4 linked regions of the Cricetulus griseus genome follow. The protein of the gene in region 1 interacts with the protein of each later gene in a pairwise test. Links are inferred from orthologs where the notes say so. Each region holds a gene or a part of one and is shown in the gene's direction. Other genes may lie near its edges.

What was found.
Region 2: the proteins of Usp2 (region 1) and Dtx3 interact in binary tests that used the Homo sapiens proteins (3 or more experiments, as listed by UniProt). The link is inferred for Cricetulus griseus from reciprocal best matches to the Homo sapiens genes USP2 and DTX3.
Region 3: the proteins of Usp2 (region 1) and Homer3 interact in binary tests that used the Homo sapiens proteins (3 or more experiments, as listed by UniProt). The two-hybrid records come from large-scale screens. The link is inferred for Cricetulus griseus from reciprocal best matches to the Homo sapiens genes USP2 and HOMER3.
Region 4: the proteins of Usp2 (region 1) and Ndel1 interact in binary tests that used the Homo sapiens proteins (3 or more experiments, as listed by UniProt). The two-hybrid records come from large-scale screens. The link is inferred for Cricetulus griseus from reciprocal best matches to the Homo sapiens genes USP2 and NDEL1.

Annotation. Positions count from the first base shown.
Region 1 is NC_048597.1:155,789,566-155,793,389, forward strand, and holds part of Usp2 (ubiquitin carboxyl-terminal hydrolase 2), read left to right. Parts: intron 1-738; coding exon 739-850; intron 851-941; coding exon 942-1,052; intron 1,053-1,559; coding exon 1,560-1,624; intron 1,625-1,808; coding exon 1,809-1,912; intron 1,913-1,999; coding exon 2,000-2,080; intron 2,081-2,166; coding exon 2,167-2,245; intron 2,246-2,435; coding exon 2,436-2,543; intron 2,544-2,872; coding exon 2,873-2,993; intron 2,994-3,568; coding exon 3,569-3,656; 3' UTR 3,657-3,824. UniProt on the Homo sapiens protein: Hydrolase that deubiquitinates polyubiquitinated target proteins such as MDM2, MDM4 and CCND1. Isoform 1 and isoform 4 possess both ubiquitin-specific peptidase and isopeptidase activities.
Region 2 is NW_023276806.1:130,519,074-130,524,234, forward strand, and holds the start of Dtx3 (probable E3 ubiquitin-protein ligase DTX3), read left to right. Parts: upstream 1-2,004; 5' UTR 2,005-2,104; exon of another isoform or gene 2,105-2,125; intron 2,126-2,230; 5' UTR 2,231-2,719; intron 2,720-3,980; 5' UTR 3,981-4,039; exon of another isoform or gene 4,040-4,101; intron 4,102-4,189; 5' UTR 4,190-4,258; coding exon 4,259-4,259; exon of another isoform or gene 4,260-4,269; coding exon of another isoform or gene 4,270-4,270; intron 4,271-4,610; coding exon 4,611-5,161. UniProt on the Homo sapiens protein: Regulator of Notch signaling, a signaling pathway involved in cell-cell communications that regulates a broad spectrum of cell-fate determinations.
Region 3 is NW_023276806.1:248,679,997-248,684,712, reverse strand, and holds part of Homer3 (homer protein homolog 3), read left to right. Parts: coding exon 1-30; intron 31-3,135; coding exon 3,136-3,243; intron 3,244-3,807; coding exon 3,808-3,929; intron 3,930-4,603; coding exon 4,604-4,716. UniProt on the Homo sapiens protein: Postsynaptic density scaffolding protein. Binds and cross-links cytoplasmic regions of GRM1, GRM5, ITPR1, DNM3, RYR1, RYR2, SHANK1 and SHANK3.
Region 4 is NC_048600.1:82,758,199-82,763,355, reverse strand, and holds the start of Ndel1 (nuclear distribution protein nudE-like 1), read left to right. Parts: upstream 1-1,548; 5' UTR 1,549-1,679; intron 1,680-5,157. UniProt on the Homo sapiens protein: Required for organization of the cellular microtubule array and microtubule anchoring at the centrosome. May regulate microtubule organization at least in part by targeting the microtubule severing protein KATNA1 to the centrosome.

The DNA of each region.
Region 1 (3,824 bases):
TGTCTCAAACAACAGATTCTGGACCCAGAACTGGATCCAAACTTGGTTGGACCCAAGCACTAGATTCTCTTGCTTAAGCCTCCCAAGCGTTGGGATTACAGGTATACAACACCATGCCTGACTCCAGTTTCAGGGTTCCATCTTGTTTGTTCATTGTTTGATTAATCCATGGGTTGGTTGGATAGTTGTCTTTTTTTTTTTTTTTTTTTTTTTTTTGAGACAGTCTCATGTAGCCCAAGGTGGCCTTGAACTCCTGATCCTTCTACCTTAACTTGGGTTCATGAGTGTGCACTACCATACCTAGCTCAAGGTTTTGTGTGTATGTGTGTGTGTGTGTGTGGTGTGTGTGTGTGTGTGTGTGTGTGTGTGTGTGTACAGTGTGTGTGTGTGTGTGTGTGTGTGTGTGTGTGTGTGTGTGTGTGTGTACACAATCCTGGGACTGGAAAGATGGCTCAGTAGTTGAGCGAGCCATCTGGTCTTACAGAGGACCATATTTGATTCCCAGAACCCATGTCTGGCAACTTACAACAACCTGTAAGTTTAGTTCCAGGGGTCCAGCACCCTCTTCTGGCCTCCTTGGGCACTCACAAGCATACATACATACATACATACACACACACACACACACACACACACACACATACACACACACACACACACACTAAAATAAAATTGCTTTTTACAAAAGCAAATATCTCACCTTTCCTCCACCCTCTCTCTGGTTGTTCCTTTCAACAGAATTTGCAAAACTAATCCAGACCATATGGACATCATCCCCCAATGATGTGGTGAGCCCATCTGAGTTCAAGACCCAGATTCAGAGATATGCACCACGCTTTGTTGGCTATAAGTAAGGGCCTCGAATGCATGTCCTCCCCCAAGAGGGGGTGGCACAAGCAGGGTGTTGGTAGATGCTGCTCACTCACTTTCTTTGGGTTCAGTCAGCAGGATGCTCAGGAGTTCCTTCGCTTCCTCCTGGATGGGCTCCACAATGAGGTGAACCGGGTGACTGTGAGGCCCAAGCCCAGCCCTGAGAATCTTGATCACCTCCCGTAAGTAAGAGGACAATGCTGCTGTGAAGTGAAGCCTTTGTGAACTTGAGATGCATACCACTTCTTTGAGAGTGGTGATCTCTCAAAGAGGGGAGAATCAGATTTGCTTTGTTGTTTTTAAACACGAGCTTTTTTATTTTGGTGACAGTAATGTGTGTGTTACTGGGGATTGTACATAAGGGCCTTGTACATGATGGGAGAGCACTCTGCCACTAAGTGACATCCTCAGGATTGAAGATTTTGAAGCCAGGCTTGGTGGTATATACCTGTAATCCTAGATTTCAAAAGGCTGAGGTAGGAGGCCAGCCTGGGCTAACCCTGTCTGAAGAAAACGATGGCTTGTGGGGTACAACTCAGTGGACTGTGTGAGGATCATGATCAAGGCCTGGGGTTCCATGCCCAGCACCACAAAAACCATATTGCATATAAATATATTCTAGTTGCTAGCACCTAAGCATATCAGGGTTTGAGCTCTAATGCAGCTGTCTTCCTGTCTGCGGTTCCCAGTGATGATGAAAAAGGGCGACAGATGTGGAGGAAGTATCTGGAGAGGGAAGACAGTCGAATTGGGGGTAAGTACACAGACAAGAAAATACCTGTGTCTGCTGTCCCCTACTTTTGCTTGAGAAGCCCTGAAGATCATTTTCCCAGGGAACCCTGCTTCTGCCTGTGACTCTCAAAACCAAGGCAAGAGTGGGGAGAAAAGGAAGGCAAGCACTCCGTATGTGCAGCTCACCCTGGCTTTCTCTTCCCCAGATCTCTTTGTTGGCCAGCTGAAGAGCTCCCTGACCTGCACCGACTGTGGCTACTGCTCTACAGTCTTCGATCCCTTCTGGGATCTCTCGTTGCCCATTGCAAAGGTATGCCCTGATGTGGCCCCGTGTCAGCTTCCCTCTTGGGCTTTGCAAGGTTATGGACAGCTGACCTGGACTTTTTTTTCTCTCCAGAGAGGTTATCCTGAGGTGACATTAATGGATTGTATGAGGCTCTTCACCAAAGAGGATGTGCTGGATGGGGATGAAAAACCAGTAAGTATCCTCAGTGACAGAAGCCAGCCACAGTGCCTGGACGGGGAAGGGCCACCTGGGTCTAGCCCCTGTTGTCTGTCTTTCAGACATGCTACCGCTGCCGAGCCAGGAAACGATGTATAAAGAAATTCTCTGTGCAGAGGTTCCCAAAGATCTTGGTGCTCCGTATCCTTAACCCCCCAGGGTTGGGACCTGACTTTTGGGGGTGACTAATGACAAGGGACCAAAAGGGGAGGGGAGCAGAGTAGGGTGAAAACAGTGTAGGCTTCTGTGTTTGTCTTCCTGCTTCCTGAGAAGAGCTGCTTCTCCAAGGACTCTCTTCCGGCTTTTTGTCCTTGACTGGAGACAATCACAGACCTGAAGCGGTTCTCGGAATCCAGGATACGAACCAGCAAGCTCACAACATTTGTGAATTTTCCACTAAGAGACCTGGACTTGAGAGAATTTGCTTCAGAAAACACCAGTGAGTCTACTTCAGGAGGACAGGCTTCCTGAAGCTGAGAGGCAGAGGCGGGAGGAAGCTAGCAAATTAGGAAAAGACTGGGAAGTAAGGATCCGGTGAGATACAGATCTGAGATTGAACCCCAAAACCACACAGGAGGAGAGAAGTGAATATTGACTCCTTCAAGATTTCCTTCTGACCTACACACACACACACACACACAAACTAAAATTAAATTTCAACCTTTTTTAAGTAGAAGCTGTTTTCTGTAAGGGAAAAGATAGGAAATAAAATGGAGGAAGGGCAGGAATGCCTCCAGGGCTTGACACCTGTCTGTGGTTCCTCCTCAGACCATGCTGTTTACAACCTGTATGCTGTGTCCAATCACTCCGGAACCACCATGGGAGGCCATTATACAGCCTACTGCCGAAGTCCAGTAACGGGCGAATGGCACACTTTCAATGACTCCAGGTGAGAGATGGGCTTCAGACAGGGCTCCTAGACAGCAGGCAACCTCATATGGCTTCCGTCTTGAATGGACAAAATCGAGGCCAAAAGCTACATCACACACACAAGACTATGCTGCCCTTTCTGGGTTTGTCCCAAGTGGCCACCGTGGCTTACAACTGTAACCAAACATCTGAGAGGTGAAAGCAAGATGATCAGGAGTTCAAGGTCATCCTCAGCTACTTAGCAAGTTTGAAGTCAGTCTGGGCTGTGAGACCTTGTCTCCAAAAAGGGAAAAAGGGTTGGGGGTGGAGCTGAAGAAATAGCACAGTGGTTAAGAGCTCTTACCACTATTGCTGAGGACAAGAGTTTATTGCCCTTAGCCATCATGGGCACCTACACTCAGTGCAAGTATCCACACACATACCACATACACATATTTAAAAATAATAAAAATCTTGACAAAAAAAAAAAAAAAAGGACGAGTCAGAGCTTAGATTGGCATAGAGAAGTTTGAGACATATCCAACCTCAGCCACTCAGCTCTGTGTCTCCAGTGACCTTCCTTGACAGGCTCTGACTTTTCCCTGATCTTTCCAGTGTCACACCCATGTCCTCCAGCCAAGTGCGCACCAGCGACGCCTATTTGCTCTTCTATGAACTGGCCAGTCCACCCTCCCGTATGTAGCATTGAGGAGCTACAGCCCTTCCCTCTTCCCTGTGGCAGCCCCACGTCCTAAGTTTTTTAAAAATTCAAAAAAAAAAACCACAAAAACAACAACAAAATCCTGACAAGTAAGAGAAAAATAAAGTAAAATAAAGCTGCCGAGCAGAAGTTGATACGGGCCTGGTCGGG
Region 2 (5,161 bases), on another chromosome or scaffold:
AGCCTAGGGGCAGGTGTGAGGCCTCTGCTGCTGCACCTCCCCAGAACCTTGCGCCTTTGCTGGGGATGGAACCCTTTAGCGAGGGGGTGGGGGGAAGGGAGAGCAGTGGAGCCTGGGAGGACAGGTCGGAGTGCAAGGTTCATACCCTGTGTGAAGTTTCCTTTCTTCCTATCCAGTAAAGCCCATGGTCCCTTTCTAGCCAAGGGAAGAGCTCCATGTGGCTCAGTTTCCATAATTTCAAGAGGATAGAGACCTTGAGTGTGGGAACATCCCCATTCCCTGGACGTAGGTACGCAGCACAGGGCCTCCCCTCTTCTCAAACACTTTTTCTAGTTGGGTTTGTTATTCTGTTCCTTCTGTCCCATCTTTCACTGCTAATGTGTCTCCCAGGGACAGATGGCCTTCTCTGTCATCTTCACTTCCCACCCCCAGAGAGGAGTCAGAGCCATAACTCACTCACCGGATCCCTTCCAAAGATAGCTGAGTTAATGCGTGATAGATACTCTCAGAATGTAGAGGAACTTTCAGGGCAGCTAATGCCTCTAAAACCCAGCCCTCAAGGAGGCTGCAGCAGAGTCAGTGAGAGTTCAAGGCCAGCTTGAACAGCCTGGGCTACAGAGTAAGACATGGTCTCAGGAAAACTCAAAGAAGGTATGGGTTTGAGCATTGGAGATAACTCAGTGGATAGAGTGCTTGCCTAGCGTGTACAAAGCTCTGGGTTCCATCTCAGCACCATGCAAACCAGATGTGGTGGTGCACACCTATAATCTCAGCACTTGGGAAAAGAAGGCAAGGGGCATCAGGTATTCAAGGTCACCCTCAGTTCCATAGCGAGTTTGAGGCCAGCCAAGGATACGTGAGACTATCTGGGAAAACAAGATTCTGCCATGAGATAGACAGTCTTGTCTCTGCCCAGAGCCTTTGGAACCAAGACGGGCATTGTTGCTGTTCTGTTCCCCTTTAGACCTCCACACCCTGGGAGTGGGGGGTGGGCAGTAAGGGCACAAAGCTATGAGGTCCTCAGGGAGAAGCCCCCTTCTCACCTTTACACCAAAGGAAGCAGCAAAAGGCAGGCCCAGCTGGGGTGGGAGGGGCCTGCCTGCTGGGCCTCTTCCATCCATCCCATAGTCACCCTTTTCCCTGTTGATGCAATAAAGCCCCATGGCACCAGCAGCAGTTCCTTAGAACTGGATTCTCCAACCAAGAGGTTGTGTATTATGGGCAGAACGGTCATCTTCATTTATTGCTTCTGTTTTCCATCATTTTTTATTAATAAAAATCTCTATTTACCTGTATTTACTCCCAATATCACAATAAAATAAATTATTCGGTCCAAATCATTCACAGAAACTTTTTTCCCTCTGAAAATGTTGAGGGATCCCTGTGTTTACAGGATGCAGAGACCAAATGAAGAATATTGGTCTTCAAGGTGTTGTTGGGCTCCTGAATATGTGGGAAGTTTCCAAGATGGCTGTGGACTTATAGTTGTGGGGTGGGGTCATGGGAGTGGAAAACATTCCTCAACTTTGTGGGAATTCAGCAGTGATGGTGGCCAGGGAAGGGTAGGATGGTGCTGCCCCTCTTTCCCCAGTGCTCTGGCTACATCTCCTAACTTGAGTGGGCCTCTCAGCCTAACAGCTATTTGGGGAGGAATTCTCTGTTCACCCAGGCTTCCTGGGAAAGCTATCTACTTAGAGGGCAGGAGGAGTACAACAAGGTCCTGGGAAAGCGAAGGAGTGACCAGTCCTCCGGTTCGTGGGGGAGGGGATGGGAAGGGATGGATGACGCGGTTGTGGCTGCTCTGGGAGACTCAGGAGGTCTTGGCTGAGGTCTTGGCTGGTGGAAAAACCTGGCTTGATGTGGCCTCGGGGAAGAGAGTTGCAGGAGGCGGAGACTGTTCTGGTGAGAAGCAGGGCAGAGCTTTTTTTTCTTTGGGAATTTTTAACTCTTTTGAGCCACGTACTTGACAGCAACACCACCCCAAGCCTTTTTTTTTTTTTTTTTTTTTCTGTTCACTTCGCATTCTGCACCAACCTGTGTCCCTGTTTGTGGAAAGCTAGTCACCCGTCCCCATCTGGCAACAGGCTGTGGGGGGTCACCGGAGGTAACACTAGCAGGAGGGAGGGGATGGAAGTAGTTTAGTCACAGGGTTTATTGTGTAGTACCAGTGTTTTCCTTTTTTTTTTTTTCCAGAACTCTTCCCATACAACATTTTTTTTTTCTTTTAAAGCTCTTACAGCCTAAGATTTTAAAAAAAGACTGCCTTCCCCTCCAAATCCATACACCCACCGCACTGCTCACGCACCCATCCACTACCGGCTCCCAAAGGTGCCACGCAGCTGGCTGGGGAAGAAGAAGGGGAGAGGGCTCCTCCGGGAGGAGGGAAGCCAAAAGAGCGGCGTTTCTAAGGGATTTCACCTCCTACCCTCGGTTACATGACGCCACCCCTCCCTCCAAAGCCTGGATCTGCGCCTCCATTTTTGTTTTGGGGCAGAGAGGCAGGGGCTCCCGGGTAGCAGGAGGAGGGGACCAAGGGAAACGGTGATCATCACCCGCCCAGGGGAGAGGGGTGCTGTCCTCCCTCCTTCCTCTTCATCGGCGCCCCGGCTTCCCCTGCCACCTTCCCGGGGTCTTCCCCCGCCCCTTGTTGCTAAGGCCCGGACCGTCATCCCAGCAACAGCCTCAGTCATGTGACCGGCAATGGCGGCGCTGACGAGAGGTAGGTGAGCCCGGCGCCCCCACACCCACCGCGTGCCCCCCAGGCCCGATCGGCACCCTCGCGAGCCCCCCGAGCCCCTCCGTCCCCTCCTCCGCCTTTGACCTCCGGCGCTCGCTCTCCCGGCGGCGCTGCGAGCCGGCACCATCGGGGCCGGGCCCAGCATCATCCTGCCGGCACCTCCAGCCCTCGGCCTCCATTTGGGGGTTCTGAGGGCCGCAGTCGGGCGGACACACGCCCTCACCCAGCGGCGGGACTCCGGGGCTTCCTCGAGTAGGGATGCGGGAGTTGGCTTCGGGTTGGATGGATCTGGGGGCCAGGTCTGGGGGAGGAGAAGGGTGGGGGTGCCTCGGTGGACACCCCCCAGGGGACCCTCGCCCTTTCTCGGTGTCCCTGCCTGGGGCCGCTGCCCGGAGGGAGTCACTGGGCTCCTGTCCGGCCTGGTTTGCCTCAGAGGAATGCTAGACCAGACTAAACTGTGGCCCCGCCTCCTTGTGCTGTGCCAGCAGGGCTTGGAGCTAGGACACCGAGATCCTGGGTCCTCTGTGCCGGGGTGGGGGCATGCTACGGTGCACGGGCCATGTGGGCTGGGACTCTAGAGTTTCATCTTAAGGGCCCTAGGATGAAGGCACTGAGGGACAGCGGCTTCTTCTTTGGATGAGTCAAGGAATTGAGGTCACTGTTAATGGCCCCCTCTTCCTAATTGAGCCGCACTCCGGGAACAGCCCCGGAGCTGAATGTGACAGGACTCAGGGGGGAAAACGTGGGGGCCCTCTAGCTGAGCTCCTGCTTGAGCCCTGCCCCTCCTAAATGCAGATCCAAGAGCTGACAACAGCTCTGCAGGCAATGGGTTTAAAGGTGACAATGAGAACTTTGTTATTGCAGGGACTGCTATCACTTTGCTGGCATCCCTAACAGACTTCGCTCTCAGGGAAAGGTCCCCCGTCAACAACAGGGACTTGACTTATTTGAGAATGTGGAGTAAAGAAATGAGTTGAGGAACATAGGAAATATTTCTGTCAGTGTAGTCAATCTGAGGGAGATGGCAAGTGCAGGCTTCATCCCCAGGGCCTTTGTCTGAACCTAGGATCTCTCTTCCTCTGCACTGGGGTTGGTGGTGGTGGGGAGCTGGTCTGGTGAAGTTCCTGAGCAATTTGAGAGGCTGTGCCTGGAATTCTGCAGGGGAGGAGAGGCGATATAAGTGTTTTGTTTCTGGGCTGACTGAGGAAGTGCTATCATAACTCTCTACCTTCTTCATCCCCAGCTCTGGTCAGCTCAATGTGGAAGTAGAGAGACTTGCACCATCTCCCATGGTCTTTTCAGGTACCTGCACCCCCAGGGGACGCTCAGTTCATGTTCTTCCCATGCCCAGGACACTACTCCAGGTTCCTGTCTGTTTCAAAGGCTACTGAGTTGGGGCCTGTGGGGATTGGAGAACCTATTCTTACTTCCTTTTCTTTCTCATCCCACTAGGCCAACGGTCTCCAAGTAGCAGGGAAAAGGAGTGAGCCTGCATGCCAATCCTAAGCTCTTCCGGATCAAAGTGAGCAAAAAGTAGGGGAGGGAAGTCTCCCTTCTCATTTGAAAAGCCTATTTTTCTTTTCTATGAGGGGAAGGGGCAGGTTGCTGGTGGTCAGGGGAGAAATGAAAGAAACAAGTAAGGTTGGTGCTTGGTTTAGATAATGATAAAATATAGAAACTCTTGTTCCCCAGCAAGTGCTGGGACTATGGGAGAGAAGGGGTGATAGAAAAACAGTTTGCAGGAGGTATTGGGGGTTGGCTTTGAGGAACACAGGAGGTGATGTGAGGTTTGGAGGGAACCTGGAGTAGGAAGCACTTATATGTGTCAAATGGGGACACTCCCCACGCTGAGTCCCTTTCACCCTGGGGGCAGTGTCGTTCGTCCTGTCCAGAATGGCAGCCTGTGGAGGCACCTGCAAGAACAAAGTGACTGTCTCCAAGCCTGTGTGGGACTTCCTGAGCAAGGAGACCCCAGCCCGGCTGGCCCGGCTTCGGGAGGAGCACCGAGTGTCCATCCTCATAGATGGGGAGACTTCTGACATCTACGTGCTCCAGCTCTCCCCACAGGGTCCTCCCCCAGCCCCTCCCAATGGGCTCTACCTGGCCCGCAAGGCTCTCAAGGGGTTACTGAAAGAGGCTGAGAAGGAGCTGAAGAAAGCTCAGAGGCAGGGGGAGCTCATGGGCTGCCTGGCTCTGGGGGGTGGTGGGGAGCACCCTGAGCTGCACCGCCCAGGTCCGCCTCCTCTTCGAGCAGCCCCACTCCTGCCTCCAGGGGCAAGAGGGCTCCCCCCTCCTCCTCCCCCCCTGCCCCCTCCACTTCCTCCTCGTCTGAGGGAGGAGGCTGAAGAACAGGAAAGCACCTGCCCCATCTGCCTGGGGGAGATCCAGAATGCCAAGACATTGGAGAAGTGCCGGCACTCATTC
Region 3 (4,716 bases), on another chromosome or scaffold:
GGCTTTGCCTCTGAACAGCAGCTGACCCAGGTGGGCGGGGACATGGGCGGTGATTGGCATCTGTGTTCCTTGGGGTAGGTTCACAGATAGCGAGACCCCTTGCGTGCCCTGGGTAGTGGTCATTTGCCACCTTGCTCCAACTTTGCACACTCCTTGTGCCTCTTAGGGGCATCAAATGGAACCCTGGACTGAGCACATCCTCCTGCTCCAGGGGCACCTCTCTCTCCAGCTTCTGTCCACTAGTTTTCAGATTTATTTTTGTTTGTGTTTGTGTATATTTGTGTATGCATGTGACATGAGTGTGCTGATGTCTGCAGAGGTAAGAGGGTGGCACTATGTCCCTGGAGCTTAAGCTACCGACTGAGGACCCGGAGATAGGTGCTGGGGACTGAACGCCCGGAGATAGGTGCTGGGGAGCACTTGTAATTGCTGGGCCATCTCTCCTTAATTTTTTCAATAAAAACGTATTACTTTTTAGTTGCTTTGGGTGTGAATGTGTGTGGGCACACCTGCACAAGGCAGAGCATTCTCAGGGATCAGTTCTCTTCTTGTCTACCATGTGGGTTCTGGGAATCATCATCAGGCCTGGGCAGCGAACACCTTTGCTTTCATCGAAACGTATTGGTTTTGGTTTTGTTTGTTTTGGTTTGGGGTATTTTGACACAGGAGAGCCAAGGCTGTCCTGAAAATCATTCTGGAACCAGGCTGGCCTTGAACTCATTGAGATCTGCCTACTTCTTCCTCACAAGTCCTGGGATTAAAGGTGTGCATCTACACTACCAGGTCATTGAGCCATATTGCAACCCCTAAATTTTTTTTTTTTTTTTTTGAGATAGGATTTCTCTGTGTATTCCTACCTTTTCTGGAACTCTCTCTGTAGGCCAGGCTGCCCTTGAACTCAGAGATCTGTCTGCCTCCCAGTGCTGGCACTAAAAGCATGAGCCACCACGCCCAGCTTTTGATTTTCTGTTTGTTTAATATTTTTATTTTATGTGTATACGTGGTTTGCTTGTATGTATCTTATGTGTATAAGTGGTTTGCTTGTATGTATCTATGTGCATTGTATGTGCTGACACCATGCCTGCAGAGACCAGTGTAGGGCGCTGGGTCCCTGGGAACTCGAGTTCCAGATGGCTGTGAGTCACCGTGTGGGTGTTGGGGACAGAACCTGGGTTCCCTGCAAGAGCAACCAGTGCTCTTAACCCATGGGCCCTTGATCCAGATCCCACCCCCATCACTTTTTTGAGACTAAGTCTTTCATCTTTTGTTGCAGGGGAGGTGGGGGGAGTTTGAGACAGGGTTTCTCTGTGTAGCTTTGTAGACCAGGCTGGCCTCGAACTCAAAGAGATTCACCTGTCCGCCCCCCCCCCACACACACACACACTCCAGAGTGCTGAAATTAAAGGTGTGAGCCACCAATGTCCGACTTTTGAATGATTTTCTTCCTTTATTTTTCTATTTCATTGGTAGTGGGGGGGGGTCGCCTCACTATATGTATGTAGCCCTAGCTGATCTGGAACTTGCTTTATAGACAAAGCTGGTCTCAAATTTACATTATAGCTAAGGCTAATCTTGAATTCCTAACCTTAGGCAGCAGGAGTGCATCTCAGGGTGAGAGAGGCCTCAGGTTAAGAGCATTGGCTGTTGGGCTGGAGAGATGGCTCAGGGGTTAAGAACACTGCCTGCTCTTCCAAAGATCCTGAGTTCAATTCCCAGCAACCACATGGTGGCTCACAACCATCTGTAATGAGATTTGGTGCCGAACACTGTACATATAATAAATAAATAAATAAATAAATAAATAAATAAATAAATCTAAACAAGAAATTCCCTAAAAAAAAAAAAAGCACTGGCTGCTCTTGCACAGGACTGAGTTAGTTCAGCACCCACGTGGGCTCACAACCTTCTGTAACTCCAAGAGGGGGATTTGAGGCCTCTAGTTTCTGAGGGCACTTACATGTATGTACATACAATTAAAAGCAATAAAAATAAATTTTAAAAAGTTTTCTTTTAAAAGTTTTTATTACCTTTGTTTATTATTTCTGTGTTGTGTGTGGGTGCAGGTATGTTATGGAAGTCAAAGGGCTGTCTGTGGGGTCAGTCCCCTCCTGCCATGCAGGTCCCATGGACTGGACTTAGGTCACCAGGCTTGACATCAAGTTTACTGAACCAGGTCACTAGCCTCACATTATTTTTTAAAATTAATTAATTTTCTTTTCTCTTTGAGACAGGGTTTCTCTGTGTAGCTTTGGAGGCTGTCCTGGAACTAGCTCTTGTAGACCAGGCTGGCCTCAAACTCACAGAGACCCACCTGTCTCTGCCTCCTGAGTGCTGGCGTTAAAGGCCAGCACCACCACTGCCAGGCCACAAATTATTTCTGATAGATGAAAATTAATGCCAGGCGTTGGTGGCTCACGCCTTTAACCCCAGCACTCGGGAGGTCAGGCAGATCTCTGTGAGTTCGAGACCAGCCTGGTCTACAAGAGCAAGTTCCAGGACAGCCTCCAAAGCCACAGAGAAACCATGTCTCGAAAAACAAAACAAAAAGAAACAAAGAAAATTAATTTAATTTTATGTGCATTGGTATTTTGTCTGCATTCATGTCTGTGTGAGGGTGTTGGGTCCCGTACAACTGGAGTTACAGTTGGGAGCCACCATGTGGGTGCTAGGAATGAACCCAGGTTCTCTGGAAGAGCAGCCAGTGTTCTTACCTGCTGAGCCATCTCTCCAGCCCCTGTGAAAACTATTTCAAAATGAAAAGAAAATGCATCATTACAACCACAGAACCAGCACTAGATGTCAGACCTCTCTTTAGGAGAAGGTATGCAGGAGGCCACACTCTCACTGCCTGGGGACGCCCTTCCCTGCGTCATGAGATACTGGCAAGTGTGACAGGCAGATGGGCACTCCAAGCCAGCCTGACAGGAACAAGGAGTCCCTTTCTGCGTGGCTCAGAACCTTAATGTCACCTCTGGCACACACCACACACACACCCTTGACACCCAAGATGGTCACAGGGTTGACCTTTTCCAGCCTCCCCTTCAAGGCTCCGGGGTGACAGGGCAGGTGGGGGATAGGGGTGGTGTGACAGGTGGTAGGGGATGCTTTCTGACTGTCCCATGTCTCACTCCCCAGTTTGCTGAGAAGTTTCAGGAGGTGAAGGAAGCTGCCAGGCTGGCTCGGGAGAAATCTCAAGATGGTGGAGAATTCACTAGTCCTGCCCTAGCCCTTGTGTCCCACCAGGTAAGTATTCCTGTACTCCATGTCTGCTGGGCCCCATGCCTACCACTCACGAGACAGCTGGATATGCTTCTGATGTCAGGGTGTCTAAGGCTGGCTGATGGCATTACTGCGCTTATGTGTGTGTGTGCACACATCTGAGGACAATTTGTGGGAGTCAGCTCTCTCCTTTCAGCATGGCATCAGGCTTGGTGACCTACTGAGCCATCTCTCCAGCCCATGCCTCAGTTTTATGTGGGTTGTTTGAAGTCTCTGTGCCCAGGGGAAAACTTTCAAGTGTTCAGAGTCCTGTTTCCGTAGGTTGTTCGGGTCTTGAGGGTTTAGTGAAAACCAAGTCGTGTGTGTGTGTGTGTGTGTGTGGGGGGGGGGTTCCTCTATCCAGGGGTCTGGGGAGCTATGGAGGGTGAGGAGGGGAGACACACACTAGGCTTCACAGGTCAGTTAAGACTCCCTGATCTCAATCAATACCCCAGTGACCCCAGTCCTAAACTCAATTAGCCTTAGCTCCTACTGCGTCTTGACTAAGGCAAGTGCTCACCTTGACCCAGTCCTGGCTCCCATACACAGGTTCCCCCAAGCCCCTTGGTCAGCACCAATGGTCCGGGAGAGGAGAAGCTGTTCCGCAGCCAGAGTGCTGATGCCCCTGGACCTACCGAGCGGGAGCGGTTGAAGAAGATGCTGTCAGAAGGGTGAGGGGTAGGGCAGGTGCTGCTTGATGGGCACAGCAGAAGCCTGAGGGGTGTATTGTGACTAGGACTGAGCTTTAGGGTGGTGGGAGTAGTGTTTCTGGGTGCAGGGCCTTGGCTGGCACCTTATAAGGGATTGTGCCAAGGAATCCCCAGGACGGGTCTTTAGGATGCAGAGGACGTGGTGTTGCTGGGGTCAGGGGTGTGACTAAGGGGTGTAGGATGGGGCTTTGGAAGGCCGTGGTCATTTTGGAGCAAGTCTTGTGTGGGTGTGGACTGCAGCAGCAGCAGCTGGCAGGGTGTGGGGTAGGAACCTGGGCTGCAGACTTGGGAAAGGAGGAGGCAATTGGTTTCTGCCTCATCTGGAGAGGAGGCTGCTCCTCCAGCATCACTGGCACCCATTCCATGGCTCTCACGTGCAATCTGGGAGGGGCAGGGATAGGTTCCCAAAATTTCTGGAGGTAGGGTCTCCCTGTGTAGCCCACTCTGGCCTGGAACTCATTATGTAGCCTAGACTGGCATCGAACTTAAGGGTACCCTCCTGTCTCAGCTCCACATGCATGGTCCCCACTCCCTAGCTTAGTGTTGTTTTGACCCTAATCCTAGCCCAGGAGGCTCTCCACCAGATGCCACCTGCGCTGACCATGCACGCCCCCAGCCCGGTGTCTTCCCCACAGCTCCGTGGGCGAGGTCCAGTGGGAGGCTGAGTTCTTTGCGCTGCAGGACAGCAACCAGAGGCTGGCAGGGGCCCTTCGCGAGGCCAACGCGGCTGCCTCACAATGGAGGCAGC
Region 4 (5,157 bases), on another chromosome or scaffold:
CCACTAGGATGGATTCCTCAGCTCAGGTATCTTGTCTATGTGCTTTTGTATGGGTCTGGTTTGACGTGACCACAGCCATCTTGAGTCATAGCCACCACGATTGCCCCTGAGTAATCCCAGCTGGTTTTTCCTGTATAGTCTCCCAACAAACCACAAATAGATAAAAATAATTAGAGTCAAATATGGGGCTTTGTACAACCAGACCCTGACCCCAGGAATGCATCCGACTCTTTGATATTAAGATAAACTGGGTACAGTCCAGCCATGGTGAAGTCACTTTTGTCCCAACCCATAAGTGCACTCCTCTCTCTGACCCAGGTTGTGGGCTATCATCTGTTTTACTGCCACTCAAGACTACACTTCCCTTAGCAAGTCCTACAATAAATTGCTCTCTGTGTAATTCTAGAGTCTGACTACCTGTCTGTGGAACCATGTTATATTGGGGCCGGTTCTCATGCAGTAGGCCTGGGCTGGGTTGACCAAAAACAGCTTTAAACAGGGGCAATGTTTCCATCGGATGGACACGATCCACGGATTTGTATAGACTGACTTCCGGTACTTGCTGGCTCCTCCTAGGCACAGAGAGGCGAATATGCACAGCTCCTGCTTTCCTTGGGTAACTTTGGGAAGTAAGACACCCTCATGGGAAAGGACTTTTCAGTGAAGCGGCTTGTTTTGTGTCCTTAACTGCTGATAGGGCATTGTTTGTTTTTCATTAGATGGACATTTATAGGCTAAACATAACCAGCCAGTAACTTGACTATGTTATCAGAGCCCACTCTTATCAGTGGTTCCTGTTCTATTTCGTAAGACTAATTGGCACGGAGTCACTGTGGAGTCAAGTGACGTGGATGGGCCCACGTGATCCGATAAAAGCTTAGAGAATGGACCAGCCTTGGAAAGGCAGAGAAGGGACAATACTGACAGCCCAAGGGACTCACTGGATCTTGGGACTTATATGGTGCCAGTTATACACATTATCCCATTTAAGTCACAACACCAGGCGTCGGTACTGGTATTACCTGCAATTCATGGGAGGGAGGGAGGAACATGAGACTTAGCAATGCAAAGTCTAAGCTACCTGACTTTAAAGATTGTCTCCTCTCCTCTCCTCTCTCTGTGGTTTGCTTTGATTTTCAGTAGTGAGCACAGAACCCAGGGCCCTACACAGGTTAGGCAAGTGGTCTACCATTGAGCCACACCCAGCCCTACCTAATTTGAGCTCTCACATAGTATACTATGTGCTTCACCGGGCTCAGCATTGCACTGGCATAGAGATAAAAGCACTGACAGCCGTTCCTTCAGTTGACTCTCCCCTCCCAAATTCAGGGACAGAGACAAGAAAGTGGGGGAGAAGACAACCAGCTGCTCGCACACATGCAGTAGAGCTGGGGAGCCCTGAAGCTCTGACTGCGAAGCTATGACTGGCATTTTACTCCCTTTCCCAAGCTCTGAGGTCTTGCTCAACTCTAGCTGAGTAACAAGGCTGGCAGGGTTACCTCACTTCTTGACAGCAGGCCCCAGCCTTCCTGGCTCAAACCCACTTCCTGTCCCAGAGTCTCTCTTGTTAGGCATGATTGAGTCTCATTCTTCCTGTTGACTTCTGTTTTGTTCCAGCTGGTCCCCGGGTGGCCCCCACGTGCTGCTGTGAACCAGATCAGCTGAGGACCTGCGACCAGGTGCCTTGTGATGTGACTTTGGGGAGTTGGGGTGAGGGGAAGCGAATGGGTGGGAGCCTGGGCCTACCCCGAGAGAGAGCAGAGTGGAGGCTTCTGGAGTCTGAGGATTCTTTCTGCCCATATGGTGGTCAAAGGCTGAAGTTAGTTTGTAAAGTCATTATGTCCCTAGTGGCAGGTGACACTGGGAGTTTGCTACAGTGAATTTTTCTGAAAGCACAGTATCTTCCATCTTCTGGATTCTGATTACCTTGATTTGGTTTCTGTTTCCTGGGCTGCCTGCTAGCATTTCTTCAGGGGCTGGGCAGCTCTTTGGGTTCAGACAGGTTTACCTGGAGCTGATGAAGACACAATCAGGGTGAGGCTCTGGTGTCATGCTGGACTGAACAAGTGAGGGGCTTGTGTTGAGATATTGTGTACTTCTAAACTGCTTAACTGCTTATGGGATAGTTGCTTCTTTCAATCTGTTTTCTTGTCTACAGATGGCAAAGTATCTTTATTTTGTTTAGATTTGTGTAGAGCTTATAGAAAAATGGTTGTGAAAATGTTTCCTAGATTGTAAGGTTGTATTTTTCAAGGCTTGGGGCTATCTTTATTTCATTTTCTAAAGAAAACTAGACATACTTTTTCATGATAATGTTTTACTTGGTAAATATCAAAACAGTACAGTTCAGTACACTGAAAATCTTTGCATAAGTAAACACCTAAATATGAGCACTTTGACATATAAACTTAAAATTTATCTATTTTTATGTGTATGTCTGTGCGTGGGTATGTGCACACAACTGTGGGTGCCCTTAGAAGCCAGACACCCTGTAACTGGAGTTAAAAGACAGTGTGATCGATCCTCCATGTGGATTCTGGGAACCAAAGCCAGTTCTCTGCAAGATCAGCAAGTGCTCTTAACCATTTAGCCATCTCCAGGTCCCCAGCCCCCATTTGATTCAGGGTCTCAAGTCTATAAAGTCTTGTTTGATCTAGAATTTTCTATGCAGAACAGGTTGGCCTTGAATCTGTCTCGATTTTCCCGCCTCTGACTTCTGAGTGCAAGGTTTCTAGGTGTGCACCGCCGCACCCACTTTCAGCACTCTCACCTGGCTTCAACATACACATTTTGTTTCAGAGACAGATTTTTATGTAGCATAGGCCAGCTGGAACTCACTGTATAGCTGAGGATGACCTTGAACTCCTGTTTTCCTGGCTACACACACCAGAGCTAGGAGTATAGGCATGAGCCATCACACCCAATTGACATACTTTCAGTACAATTTTTAATGTTGAATTCTATTTACTGTCCTGTAACTTCCCTCCTTCTCTCCTTTCCTTTTCTGCTCCTTCCTTCCTTCCTTCCTTCCTTCCTTCCTTCCTTCCTTCTTTCCTTCCTTCCTTCCTTCCTTCCCTCCTTCCTTTCTTAGACACAGCTTCACTGCATAGTCCTGGATGGTCTGGAACTTGCTATGTAGACCAGGCTGATCTCAAACTCACGGATATTCCTCTGTCTCTGTGCTGGGATTAAAGGCATGTGCTACCACATCTGGCCTATGTGGCTATTTTTTAGTTTTCTGTTAATAAAAGGCAAGGGTACAGAAGTCATTTATCAGCTACCCATATTATTGTTTCCATCCTCCCAATAAGATAATTTGTTTACGTTGCTGCTGTACTCTCAACTGTGAGGATGGTGATTGTTAGTATTCAGGAATCCGTACTGGCCTGCCCTTGGGGTCCTGACCAGACACACCCTCAGCTGCAGCTACTAAGAGCACCACCTGTGCATATTCACTATGTTCCCTTAAAAAGGACCCTGTCTATCTCCCATCCTCCTCTCTTTCTCTCTCTCCCTTTCTGCTTCTCTTTGCTTGCTCCCCAGAGGCTGGTTTCCCCACCCCTTTCCCTTTAATGGTCCCTTTCCCTCCATTGAACTCTGTGGCATCTCATCTTTCTCTCTTGGGCTGCCTTTTTTTTTTTTTTTTTTTTTAGTTACAACACAGATAATGGTGATAATGTTCCTTTTTTGTTTTACTTTTTGCTCCTGGAATTGATAGTTGCCTCAGGTTTTTCTTTATTTAGTAATCGTGTGTGTGTGTGTGTGTGTGTGTGTGTGTGTGTACTTTCCAGCTATTGGGCCTGGCCTGTGTGTAGTGTGCTCATATCTGGATGAGGCTGTGTGGTCAGGAGACCCACTGAAGAATTCCCTTCAGCTGCCTCATGCTGCTGCCGCCATCCCTTCCTCGCCAGCATGGACTGTACCCTCCAACTGTGAGGCCCAAGTAAATCCTTTCTTCTTAAAAAAAAAAAAAAAAAAAAAAAAAAAAAAAAGATTCTCTGGCCACCTGCATGGAGGGTGTAAGAGAGGTTGCCAGCATTTTGCGGGGTCACCCAAGGCAGGGGCTGAGACATCATGGCCTTGGAGGTGTCCTTTCTCCCTGAACCTCCTTTTTTGTGGTGAAGTAATCTAACTTCTTCTGGGTCTTCTCACCTTCTGCTGTTGGGCAGGGGTGAGGCAAATGCTTTGGTTTGCCTGCTACCTAGACTGTGAAGTCTGTATCTAAATTGGTGGTTCTCAACCTGTGGGTCATGACCCTTTTGCAGGGGTCGCCTAAGGCCATCAGAACATACAAACATTTATATTATGATTAATCACAGCAAAATTAGAGTCATGAAGTAGTAAGGGAAATAGTTTTATGGTTTGGGGTCATCACAGCATGAGGAACTGTATTAAAGGATCTGGGCATTAGGAAGGTGGAGAACCACTGCTCTAAATGCCCTGTAAATGCACTACCTCCAATACATCTTCCTGTTTTCCCATTCCTCTTGCGTTCTGAAGCAGCTAGAAACCCTAACTCAGGAGCCTTTCTGGAGTTCAGAGGCATGGCACAACTTGCTCTGGTTGGCATCTAGCTTTCAGCTTCCTGACTGTTGCTGGCTTTCACTCCTTCACACACTTTCAGGCTTGCAGCATCATGTGTGGACATATCCTTTTGGCTTTTTTTTTTGGGGGGTGTATTTTGTTTTGTTTTTGAGAAGGCTCTCTCTAGGTAGCTCTGGATGTTCTGGAACTTTTTAAATAGAGCAGGCTGGCCTTGAACGCATAGAAGTTTTTCTTCTGTCTCTTGAGTACTGAGATCAAAGGTGTTCGATACTAGGTCCAGCAAAAACCCAGAGTCTTGCTCATGCTAGGCAAGTAGTATACCACTAAGCTGGTACTAGCTGTATTTATCTGTTTATGAGACAGGTCTTCATACCGAGATTTGGTTGGAGCTCACTCTATTATGCAGGCTGGCCTTGAGATCAAGGCAGTCCTCAGCACTCAGGAGGTGTTTATTGACCATTTATATTTCCTTCATGATCACCTATTTATTTATATCCACTAAGTTAGGATAATTGTTAGATTGCAGAGCCAGCTGTGGAAAGAGATTATGATTGATCTATTTTCTGTATTTTCTTTTCTTTCATTCCTATTTCTTTTCTCTTACTTTCCTTC